2 linked regions of the Arabidopsis thaliana genome follow. The protein of the gene in region 2 interacts with the protein of the main gene of each other region in a biochemical or structural test. Each region holds a gene or a part of one and is shown on either strand. Other genes may lie near its edges.

What was found.
Region 1: the proteins of AT4G22730 (region 2) and AT5G49770 form a complex in vitro, tested with the Arabidopsis thaliana proteins (one large-scale study listed by BioGRID).

Annotation. Positions count from the first base shown.
Region 1 is NC_003076.8:20,220,785-20,227,966, forward strand, and holds AT5G49770 (Leucine-rich repeat protein kinase family protein), read left to right. Parts: upstream 1-1,884; 5' UTR 1,885-2,075; coding exon 2,076-2,169; intron 2,170-2,257; coding exon 2,258-2,381; intron 2,382-2,482; coding exon 2,483-2,554; intron 2,555-2,630; coding exon 2,631-2,705; intron 2,706-2,792; coding exon 2,793-2,864; intron 2,865-2,961; coding exon 2,962-3,126; intron 3,127-3,222; coding exon 3,223-3,297; intron 3,298-3,396; coding exon 3,397-3,468; intron 3,469-3,547; coding exon 3,548-3,619; intron 3,620-3,706; coding exon 3,707-3,775; intron 3,776-3,880; coding exon 3,881-3,955; intron 3,956-4,037; coding exon 4,038-4,109; intron 4,110-4,208; coding exon 4,209-4,343; intron 4,344-4,417; coding exon 4,418-4,896; intron 4,897-4,978; coding exon 4,979-5,131; intron 5,132-5,218; coding exon 5,219-5,355; intron 5,356-5,436; coding exon 5,437-5,656; intron 5,657-5,725; coding exon 5,726-5,961; intron 5,962-6,039; coding exon 6,040-6,483; 3' UTR 6,484-6,682; and 1 more. Other genes in the region: AT5G49760 (Leucine-rich repeat protein kinase family protein), read left to right, coding at 1-268.
Region 2 is NC_003075.7:11,939,156-11,944,425, forward strand, and holds AT4G22730 (Leucine-rich repeat protein kinase family protein), read left to right. Parts: upstream 1-1,845; 5' UTR 1,846-2,228; coding exon 2,229-2,658; intron 2,659-2,746; coding exon 2,747-3,007; exon of another isoform or gene 3,008-3,094; coding exon 3,095-3,988; coding exon of another isoform or gene 3,989-3,993; intron 3,994-4,059; coding exon 4,060-4,541; 3' UTR 4,542-4,730; downstream 4,731-5,270. Other genes in the region: AT4G22740 (glycine-rich protein), read right to left, coding at 4,895-5,022, 5,109-5,192.

The DNA.
Region 1 (7,182 bases), on a different chromosome or scaffold from region 2:
AAGCAGTGGGAATCTAAAAGGGTTCGAGAAGTATGTAGACTTGGCTTTGAGATGTGTGGAGGAGGAAGGAGTTAATAGGCCATCAATGGGTGAGGTTGTGAAAGAGATTGAGAACATAATGCAGCTTGCGGGATTAAATCCTAACTCAGATTCAGCAACGAGTTCAAGAACGTATGAGGACGCAATCAAAGGATCTGGTGATCCTTATGGCAGTGAATCGTTTCAGTACAGTGGGAATTTTCCAGCTTCAAAGCTTGAGCCCCAATGATTGATTATGTTTCTTTTTGTTATTTTGTTATTTCGTAAGTGACTTCATACTTGAAATGCCTTGTGAATGTGGAGTAGCATGATTCTGTTTGATATGTGGTCGCTGATTATAAAGCAGATGAATGGAGAGCCAAACGCAGAATCAAAAACCACCAGATCTTTGGCAATGTCGACACCAGTTTCAAACATAAGAAAAGTAATCAAGCTCAATGTATGATGAATAATTGAATATATTAATTCTTGTTGAGAAGTTTGTGTGGTTTCAAAGATTTAATCCACACATCACACACACTTTTAATTTACTCCAAACCTTTCACATTTATGCATGAGATTATATTACAAATTTATATTACAAATAATTTGTAGTACGTAAGTAAAATTAGTATTAACTAATAAGAAAAAAAAGTAATAAAGTTATTGGGTTTGCAACCTAACACATCAACGATCCCATCGAACAACAACAGTTACATGACCCAGGGTGAATTTATGGTTGTCGTCTCATCTGAGAGCACTCTCTGATCTAGTGTCCTTGTTGTCCACACCTCAAACACGCCCCCAAAATGTATGACATGATTTAACAAAAAATAAAAAGAAACATGATTTAAGACATGTGGTGTGTGGCAACTCTGCCATATATTTCATGGTGAGGTAGCGAACCGGCACCAAGTTTTTCTCGATATGTTTCCTCCATTTACCATTCTTTACGGTAGACTACGGTAGACTCATAACTTTTTTTATACCGGAGTCATATCGTATTAGTTTCTTAAGAGGATTAAAGCACACATATGTTTTTGTGTCTTATTTACTACAAAAAGTCTTTTTACTAAAACACTAACAAAACAAAAATAACATACAAAAAAAATAAGAAAAGTGGTGGGATGTGGCCAAATAGCATTAGCATACATACGTAGGAAAAAAATAGACGATGTGGTCATATGTCAGAGTGGTCAAGGTCCCATCCCATCTCTGAGTTTTCCGTCGGTTTGGAGTATATTGATCGGAGAATATGATATGGGCAAAAAAAAAAAATCGATTAATTTTTAATCAATTTGGGGTACACTGAAAACAAAAAATATTTTTTTTATTAATTTACTTGGAGGAAGTACTGGTCAATATAACATCAAACCATCAGCATCATTCATTGTTGTTGCAATTAGTATTATTATCTCAAGTTGATAAAAGCTTGTGCTGATTTTTTCCATGACCATGACTTTATTGCATGTTGCTGTTAGAAAAACCATATCAGTGCATAGTCGCTTACCATTACTCTATTTCAAAAATCTCTCTTTTCTTGAGAAGAAACGTTCTAGGAAAACAAATAATATATACATGACTTCTCCCAGTTTTGTGCAGAAACAATTAAATGTTAGATCATTTAGTTAAGTTTTGTTACATATTGCATATTTATGCTTTATCATGTAAACAGATTTATTTATGTAGTTAATAAAGGACTAGTCTATTATAATGGTGTTTTGTGCCAAGTCATTGTTCATAATTTGTTCCTCCACATTACCGTATTGACATTTCAATTTCTCCCTTGGATAATACCTTTGAACCCTTCCGCAATATATAGCGGTTCTTTATTATCTATATCAAGTTGAACTATTTGTTTATATGGTCCACTGTCTATTTGTTTGCTTTATTTATAAATTTTCGCTTAACTTGTTCAAAGTCTTCTCCTTTATGTCTTACATGCTTTGTTAGCAAAGAACATGGAGGCTGCATTTTTATGTTAGAGTTCGTCATAACTTGTGCAGACCACATGCTTTCTTCTTGAACGAATTGTGATACATATCATTGTGTGTCTGATGAAGATGAGTTCAAGAATTGGATTATTTAAGCTCTTGATCTTGCTTTTCTTCCAAATTTACTCTGTTTATGCGTTCACAGATGGTTCAGATTGTAAGTATAAGTAGATGATGATCAGAGTTCTTTTAACAGATAAAGATTTCCAATTTTTTGTATTTTAATTCTTTCAATATTGGTGCAGTTACTGCTTTACAAGCCCTGAAGAACGAATGGGACACGTTATCCAAGAGTTGGAAAAGCTCTGATCCTTGTGGAACCGAATGGGTTGGAATTACATGTAACAACGATAACCGTGTTGTTTCAATGTAACACCTTGGTCCCTTTCTTTGTTTGTTCTTTTGCTGCTTCTTTCTTCAATATAATCCTCTATATACAGACTTTAAGCTGTGTTATTTGCTTGTTTCAGATCATTAACCAACCGTAACTTGAAAGGAAAGCTTCCTACCGAAATTTCGACATTGTCTGAATTGCAAACCTTGTAGGTCTTTCTTCTTCTTCTTTTTCCTTTGCATAAAAATGGATTTAGTTCTCATCTTATGATTCGATGTTTGCAGGGATTTGACTGGCAATCCTGAATTGTCTGGACCGCTTCCAGCAAATATCGGTAACCTCAGGAAGTTGACTTTCTTGTAAGCAAAGTAAACAAGATCTTAACCTAATTCCATCAATCGCATTATCTTATATATCGCCTTTTCTTTTGTTGTTTTCTTCTCTAGGAGCCTTATGGGATGTGCTTTTAATGGTCCAATCCCTGATTCCATAGGGAATCTTGAACAACTTACAAGACTGTAAGATTTGTTGCTTCTTATAATTTATAAACAGTCACTTTTTCAATGTAATCTTTAAAACTCATAATAAGTATTACTTTGCGTTTCCTCCATACAGCTCTCTGAATTTAAATAAATTTAGTGGAACAATTCCGGCTTCCATGGGACGGTTATCGAAACTATATTGGTTCGACATAGCTGACAATCAGTTAGAAGGAAAGCTTCCAGTTTCTGATGGGGCTTCTTTACCTGGACTTGACATGCTTCTTCAAACTGGGCATTTGTATATATAATCCCAAATCCTTAGTTTTCATTTTTATTTAGTTACTCTTTATATATAACATTCATCACTCTGACTCTCTTTTACTTTCTTTTGTAGTCATTTTGGTAATAACAAGCTTTCAGGCGAAATCCCAGAGAAGCTCTTTAGCTCAGAAATGACTTTGCTACATGTGTAAGTTTCATAGTACATGCAAAAGCTGAGAGTTTTCACTAGTTGATATTAGAAACTAACAAAGTGATGATTGCATTTTTGTTCTTGTTTTATCAATAGGCTGTTTGATGGAAACCAATTCACCGGTAGCATCCCAGAGAGCCTCGGCCTAGTTCAAAATTTGACTGTGTTGTAAGTAGTAGAAATATATTTTCCAAACTGTATGTTCACAAAATTTCTTTAATCTTATAAGATATTTGCTTTGTTACAGACGTCTTGATAGGAATAGACTAAGTGGAGACATTCCTTCAAGTCTTAATAATCTCACAAATCTTCAAGAACTGTAAGTGAGCAAATAAAGATTTGTTCTGTTTTCTTAAGATATATAAATGAAAAGATGTAAAAGATCTTGTAGTTGAATCCATTTCAGGCATTTGTCCGACAACAAATTTACAGGTAGTCTTCCAAATTTGACCAGCTTGACCAGTCTCTACACATTGTAAGTTTCAATATTTTTCTTCCTCGTTTGTTGCTCAAATTTAGCATCAGAAACCTTTCTTATTAATAATCAATCTAATGCCATGATATGATTATTATGTAACAGGGATGTGAGCAATAACCCGTTGGCGTTATCACCGGTTCCATCATGGATCCCTTTCTTAAACTCTTTGTCAACATTGTATGAGCATTCCTCTCTCTTTTTAGATATATATAGATTTGTGAGCATACATAATGAGAAAAAATGGTCTTCAACTTGGCAGAAGGTTGGAAGATATCCAACTTGATGGTCCAGTACCAACCTCCCTTTTTAGCCCTCTTCAATTGCAAACTGTGTGAGTCAAATAAGTCATGATCATGAATGTTCAATTGGAAAGTCAACTCAAAGATTTGTGAAACATGTACTGATTGGGATGGTTTTTCTTGACTTGCAGTTCCCTAAAGCACAATCTTATAAACACAACATTGGACCTTGGTACCAACTATAGCAAACAATTGGATTTTGTGGATTTACGAGACAACTTCATAACTGGTTATAAATCACCAGCTAATAACCCCGTCAATGTAATGTATGTATTCATCTTTGACCAATATGTAACATCTTTGAAGAATAACTTACGTATGTGTGTTGATATATCCATAGGTTGGCAGATAATCAAGTGTGCCAAGACCCGGCGAATCAGCTGAGTGGCTACTGCAATGCAGTCCAACCAAATTCCACATTTTCTACCCTAACAAAATGTGGTAATCATTGTGGTAAAGGTAAGGAACCGAATCAAGGCTGCCACTGTGTGTATCCACTTACAGGAGTATTCACCTTAAGGTCTCCTTCATTCTCCGGATTTTCAAACAACAGTAACTTCCTAAAGTTTGGGGAGAGTTTAATGACTTTCTTTAAGAATGGCAAGTATCCTGTAGACTCTGTGGCCATGAGAAACATAAGCGAGAATCCAACTGATTATCATCTTTTGATAAATCTCTTGATCTTTCCATCGGGACGCGACCGCTTTAATCAGACGGAAATGGACTCTATTAATTCTGCATTTACCATTCAGGATTATAAGCCTCCTCCAAGATTTGGTCCTTATATTTTCGTCGCCGATCAGTACAAAACATTCTCTGGTATGATGAAACGTAACACACACTCAAACGAAATCTATATTGATTTAACTCATTTTACTTATAAGCCTTGTTTGTTTCACAGATTTAGAAGATTCCAAGACAGTAAGTATGAAAGTTATAATTGGAGTAGTAGTTGGTGTTGTAGTTCTTCTGTTGCTGTTGGCTTTAGCTGGGATTTACGCTCTTAGACAGAAGAAGAGAGCTCAGAGAGCAACTGATCAAATGAATCCTTTTGGTAAAAGAAAAATGGTTTAACACTAGAACAAAAGACTTTTCTCTTGTCTTATGAAAATCCTGACAGCTTCTCGTTTGTCTGTTGTAGCCAAGTGGGATGCGGGGAAGAATGAAATGGATGCTCCACAACTAATGGGAACAAAAGCCTTTACTTTCGAAGAGCTTAGCAAATGTACTAACAACTTTTCAGATGCAAATGATGTTGGCGGTGGAGGTTATGGCCAGGTTTGTGTATTTCCAATGTCCTCAACTGAAACAACCAGAGGTAGTAGTTCAAATTATAATACCAATTTGATGGTGAAACAGGTCTACAAAGGTACCCTTCCCAATGGGCAAGTCATAGCAATCAAAAGAGCTCAACAAGGATCCATGCAAGGAGCGTTCGAGTTTAAGACCGAGATTGAGCTTCTTTCAAGGGTCCATCATAAAAATGTTGTTAAGCTTTTGGGCTTCTGTTTTGATCAAAAAGAACAAATGCTCGTATACGAGTACATACCTAATGGGTCCCTTAGAGACGGTCTATCAGGTATATATTTAATCTCTATATATCTTGCTTTGTTAGTTCTTTGGTGCTGAACTTGAAAAACAAATGTAGGGAAGAATGGGGTTAAACTGGATTGGACAAGAAGGCTCAAAATAGCACTTGGCTCAGGGAAGGGTCTAGCTTATCTTCATGAGCTTGCTGATCCTCCAATTATACATAGAGACGTCAAATCAAATAACATATTACTTGATGAACATCTAACCGCAAAGGTTGCTGATTTCGGTCTCTCCAAACTTGTGGGGGACCCTGAAAAAGCTCATGTCACAACACAAGTGAAAGGAACCATGGTGAGTAAAAAAGAATCTATCATAAAATATATGAAACCATTAACTATAAAAACTAACAATATCTCTGGAATTAATTAGGGCTATCTTGATCCTGAGTACTACATGACGAATCAATTGACGGAGAAGAGCGATGTGTATGGGTTTGGTGTGGTGATGCTTGAGTTATTAACCGGTAAAAGTCCGATAGATAGAGGCAGCTATGTTGTGAAAGAGGTAAAGAAGAAGATGGATAAATCGAGGAACTTGTATGACTTACAAGAATTGTTGGACACGACAATTATCCAAAACAGCGGGAATTTGAAAGGGTTCGAGAAGTATGTAGATGTGGCTCTACAATGCGTGGAGCCAGAGGGAGTTAATAGGCCAACAATGAGTGAGGTGGTGCAAGAACTTGAGAGCATATTGCGGCTTGTTGGATTAAACCCTAACGCCGATTCAGCAACATACGAGGAAGCATCTGGTGATCCTTATGGTAGGGATTCGTTTGAGTACACTGGGGTTTTCCCAACTCCAAAACCCTAACGCAATAATTGATTAATTTGTTCTTTCTCAGTTTTTTATTGTTTTGTTTTTTGGTTATTTTGTAAGTGACTTTACAACCTTAAATGCCGTGTGAATGTGTGTGTACTAGCATGATTTGATTTTTGATATATGTTGTTTTGTGGTCGCTGCTTATAAAGTGTAAACAAGATTGGAATCAAAATAAACATCAACCCTAAGCAACCCTAAGTTGTCATGATACTAAATAAATCTAATCACCGGATTTTGAATATACTCTCTTTGAGGTTGTCTCAGCAGTCCGGTTGTCATGTCTCTACGGGTATCCCCACGCACATATACTGTGCCAAGCAAGGATGCTAGTGTGTCCTTCTTGAATCCGCGAACGGATGATCTTTCTCTATTCTCATGTTGTAGTTATGATTTTCTTAACTTCGTTCGTAATCAAGTGAATACTTTCAATAACAGACTTGTATACACACTTTTTGGTTTTTTACGGTTTACTATTACAGTATTAATCGATTTTCTACCATAAAATTAAACTGTTTATCTAGTAATTAAAAAAAAACTGACACAATATGAAAATAAAAATGGTCACAAAAAATAGAATTTCTTTAGTAAAATGAAAAAAAATCACTTAATTTGAAAATTTTTTTTTAAGAGAAAATATAGTGAATTGTTTAATCTATAATCATTTGAATTGCAAGAAACAAAAAACAAAGA
Region 2 (5,270 bases):
GTAAATAGAATTTATACATAATGATCTAATCTTGATCTTGCTAATAAAAATTGTAAAGGCAACAACAAGTTGTCAAAAATTTCAATTTGACGTAGAGATAAATTCTATCTAATAATTTTGTAAAAACATTCGAGATATAGTGTATCATTTTTCCATCATCTAGAACTCATTTGCGTATTTTCAAGTGTAAATCAGAACCTTGACACATAGGCTACACAAATTTTGGTCGATATTTATATTACTTTTGTAGCATAATGTGGATATCCTTCTAGAGACTAGAGTTCTAGATAAAACATTCATACATGTAACTATGTAAGTAAGCATGCATACTAAATATAAAATTTTCAAAAGTTTTAAAAGACATCATATAGATTCAAAAAGACGTGGGAAAAAGGAGAAAATGACAAAAGTTATTAGTAAAACAATCAAGTAAAAGGTCAAAGTAGTTAACGAAAAGATAAAAGTATTTCAAAAGTCTTCCTTCCATCTTGAAATGCCAAAAAATAAAAGACGAATGATTGAAGATAAATCAAAGTTGTCTGATTGCTATTGTATACATCTTTTTTTTTGTTAAAACTATTGTATACATCTAAAAAACCTTGAAGTAATCAAGATCTGAATTATAGCCGTTGATAAGGTTTTATGCTTTCACATTGAACTCGATCGTCGTCGTCAAATCTACTAGTCTCGTTTTTTAGTTTTAACGTGCTTAATTACTTCACTAATTTGTTTTTTGTTATCATTTTCACCAATTTTATTCATTGTGTGAATTAAGTTTTGTCCACATAGTAAGATTCATCAGTATAATAGGACATATGATAAAAGTTTGTATATAATCAAAGAGTATATCTAAGAATATCTAATTAAGATGAATGTTTCAGTCCACATTGGATTCTGCTTATAGTCAAACTGTCTTGTTCTTAAACCCAATTAGGTTAGAATACATGTACCAACAAATAGCATTTCTATAACTAATCTTTTATCAATTTACTTTATAGCCTACAAATAATTAGAGGAAAAGAAAAGAGAGTTAGTGGAATAATTGTCCTCTAAATCTCGATATCATCATTAACTAAATACTATATTTAGACCATATATACTATATTTTATAGTATACTATATTTTATAGTATATATAATCAACTAATCATATTAGACCACTATTAGAAATATGGATCTAAAAAAAACATTCTTTAATCAGTACTATTCTCATCCAAAGACTTGTTTTAAGAGACTAAATATGAATATGTGTATGTGTATGTGTATGCAGGAGTAGACACGTGCACGTGGCACATGCAGGGAATGGGAAGGTGGAGTGTTGACAAAGAAGAAGAGGATGATCCAAGTTTCGAAATGATTCCAAAAGTTATGAACTATAAGCCAAAGTGCTCAATCGCCAAACATGAACTTAAATAAACTTCACTCGTTAGATCGTTTTCTCACATTAAAGCCGCTCTACACTTTTACCCATTTTACCATTTATAATAACCACCACACATAGATATTAAGTTCTATGGATTTTATTCGTAAACTTAAGTTATGATCAAATAGCTAAATGATTTTGCGATTTGCCCGAGTTCTGTTTGTTTCTAAAATGGTTATCCAAAAAGCATATTTTTGTTTTATATAGAATTTGTGATATAGAAGAAATATACTAAAAATGTTTTAAAGTCTGTCTAAATCATAAACCAATGCAAAGAAAGTGAAATAAACCAAGATCTCGAGCAATAGACATAATAAATAAACAAACACCTAATAACATCACATCCCCACTAACAAATGTGAACATTAACTGTTAAAAATCACCAAAAAAGTCATCAAGATTTGGCTTTCCTTTTCAAAAGCAGTATACGTCTCTGTCTCACACAGACAGTGTATTCAATGCGTTGTGTTGTCTTCCCACTTTTCACCAGCTGAGGTTCTGCTTCTTTCTCTTCTTCTCTCCAAAACAAGAAAATTCTGCAGAATAACTTTTCATTCACGAGAGTGGAAGGTTACAGTTTTCCAAATCCGAGAAACAGACACAAAATTGGTCCCTCTCTAAAAGTTACTATCTTCGTTTAACAAAGAGATAGCTCCCAATCCAGTACAAAACAGAGTACTCTGCTCTATAAATTTCGTTCCTTTATTACTCTGCTCTATAAAACAGATTATTCTGCTCTATAAGAGAGATAGATAAATGAGCTAAAGCTCAGTAATTTCTAAACAGAGAGACAAGAAAATTCAAGAATGGTTACCTTATGTGCCACGTTACTGATCCTTCTCTCAATCTTTCTTGCAACTCCGTCGAATGTTCGAGGAAATGCAGAGCTGAAGGCTTTAATGGAGCTGAAATCGTCGCTTGACCCTGAAAACAAGCTTCTCCGTTCATGGACGTTTAACGGCGATCCATGCGACGGATCTTTCGAAGGAATTGCATGTAACCAGCATCTAAAAGTCGCAAACATATCATTACAAGGGAAACGTTTGGTCGGAAAATTGTCTCCGGCGGTTGCAGAGCTCAAATGTTTGTCAGGTCTTTACTTACATTACAATAGTCTCTCTGGAGAGATACCTCAAGAGATCACAAATCTTACTGAATTATCAGATCTTTATCTCAATGTTAATAACTTCTCTGGTGAGATTCCGGCAGATATCGGCTCCATGGCTGGCTTGCAAGGTTAGCATCTTATAATGTTTCACAGATCTTTCACTTGAATGTTTACTCGATCTTCCATTTGAATGTTTTGTGGTGTCTTTTGTTGCAGTTATGGATCTTTGTTGCAACAGTTTAACAGGGAAGATACCAAAGAACATTGGATCCTTGAAGAAACTTAATGTGTTGTCTCTGCAACACAACAAACTAACCGGAGAGGTTCCTTGGACTTTAGGAAACTTGAGTATGTTAAGCAGGCTTGATTTAAGCTTCAACAATCTGTTAGGTTTAATCCCAAAAACCCTAGCCAACATTCCTCAGTTGGACACTCTTGACTTGCGCAACAATACTCTCTCTGGCTTTGTTCCTCCTGGTGAGTTAATGATTCTTGAAACGTCTTTGTAAGAGCTTATCTCTCTGTTTCTTGACTCGGTTTTTTCTTCGTTATGTTTCTTCAAAGGTCTTAAGAAGTTGAATGGGAGCTTCCAGTTTGAGAACAACACCGGGTTATGTGGTATCGATTTTCCTTCTTTGAGAGCTTGTTCTGCTTTCGATAATGCGAATAATATCGAACAATTTAAGCAGCCTCCTGGTGAAATAGACACTGATAAATCAGCTCTTCACAACATTCCCGAGTCTGTATATCTCCAAAAGCATTGCAACCAAACACATTGCAAGAAATCCTCATCGAAACTCCCACAAGTTGCTTTGATTTCAAGCGTGATTACCGTCACTATAACATTGATTGGTGCTGGTATATTGACCTTCTTTCGCTACAGAAGAAGGAAGCAAAAGATCAGTAACACACCTGAGTTTTCCGAGGGAAGACTAAGCACAGATCAACAAAAAGAGTTCCGTGCATCGCCTTTAGTGAGTCTTGCCTACACTAAAGAATGGGATCCGCTAGGTGATAGCAGAAACGGAGCTGAGTTTTCACAAGAGCCTCATCTCTTTGTTGTAAATAGTAGCTTCAGGTTTAACTTAGAAGACATTGAATCAGCAACCCAATGCTTCTCAGAAGCTAATCTATTGAGCAGAAACAGCTTCACCTCAGTGTTCAAAGGAGTCCTCAGAGATGGTTCTCCGGTAGCTATCAGAAGCATCAACATAAGCAGTTGCAAGAACGAAGAAGTCGAATTCATGAACGGTTTAAAGCTTTTATCTTCGTTGTCACACGAAAACTTAGTGAAGCTACGTGGATTCTGCTGTTCTAGAGGCAGAGGAGAGTGTTTCCTCATCTATGATTTTGCTTCAAAAGGAAAGCTTTCAAATTTTCTTGACTTACAAGAACGCGAAACTAATCTGGTCCTTGCTTGGTCTGCAAGAATCTCCATCATCAAAGGGATTGCAAAAGGTTAAGTATTTGAAATATCACTTCTTTGAGTTCAAGGAACAAAATGTATTTAATACACAAATTTCTTGCAGGTATTGCTTACTTACATGGAAGTGATCAACAGAAGAAGCCTACAATAGTTCATCGAAACATCTCTGTCGAAAAAATCCTACTTGATGAACAATTTAACCCGTTAATCGCTGATTCGGGTCTTCACAACCTTCTAGCAGACGATATGGTCTTCTCAGCACTCAAAACAAGTGCAGCAATGGGATATTTAGCTCCGGAATACGTCACAACCGGAAAATTCACCGAGAAAACCGATATTTTCGCCTTTGGAGTCATCATTCTCCAGATACTCTCTGGTAAGCTCATGCTTACAAGTTCACTGAGAAATGCAGCTGAAAATGGAGAACATAACGGGTTCATCGATGAAGATCTTCGTGAAGAGTTTGATAAACCAGAGGCGACTGCAATGGCGAGGATTGGGATAAGCTGTACACAGGAGATACCAAACAATAGGCCTAATATAGAGACATTGCTTGAGAATATAAACTGTATGAAGAGTGAATGACTCTGCTTTTTAATTAGTATCTTTGTGCAAGTATGATTCTCCGGTTAGCTGTGTCCCACCAATTGGTTTTGTTTGTTTTAGTTCTCTCCAGTAAGAACCGGGTCCGGTTTATATTTTATTTAGATTTGTAGCTGAGAATTGAAGCTTTAATCAGTTAGCTATATGATTATAAGCAACGAAGAACTGATTAATGTAACAAAAGATACATATATAATAATCATCAAGGAGCAGTGTTTAAAACCCTCAAATCATGTCATCATACAGTTACAGTAATGATGATGCAACCTAAGTAAAGTAATTAGTCTTTGGTTACATTCACTAAAGATTTTCGAAACCATACATATAGGCGGAGATTAGTTTGTACCATGTCCTCTTACATTCATTGCAGCTTTCGGTCTTCGGGATGATTCTGCTCGTGCATGAGAAGGACTTGGATCAGTCGAGGGAAGTAACATTGGTTGCTCTCTGTTCACAAGACCACCTGCAAGAACATCAAAGAGATGATTTATCTTTGTTCACAAAGAAACGTACAACACGAAAACTTGACCGTGTAATAGGACTGCTTACTTCCAAATGAACCAGAGCGACTGGGTAACTGCATTTGCCTTCTAGCATTTCCACTCCAAGACTGTTCAAAACCAGCCAATTCATCTGCAGAATTTTGCAATTGAAAGCAAACGGTATATAAGGATATTTCATCCACAATAGAACATTTATGAAGCTTAACGA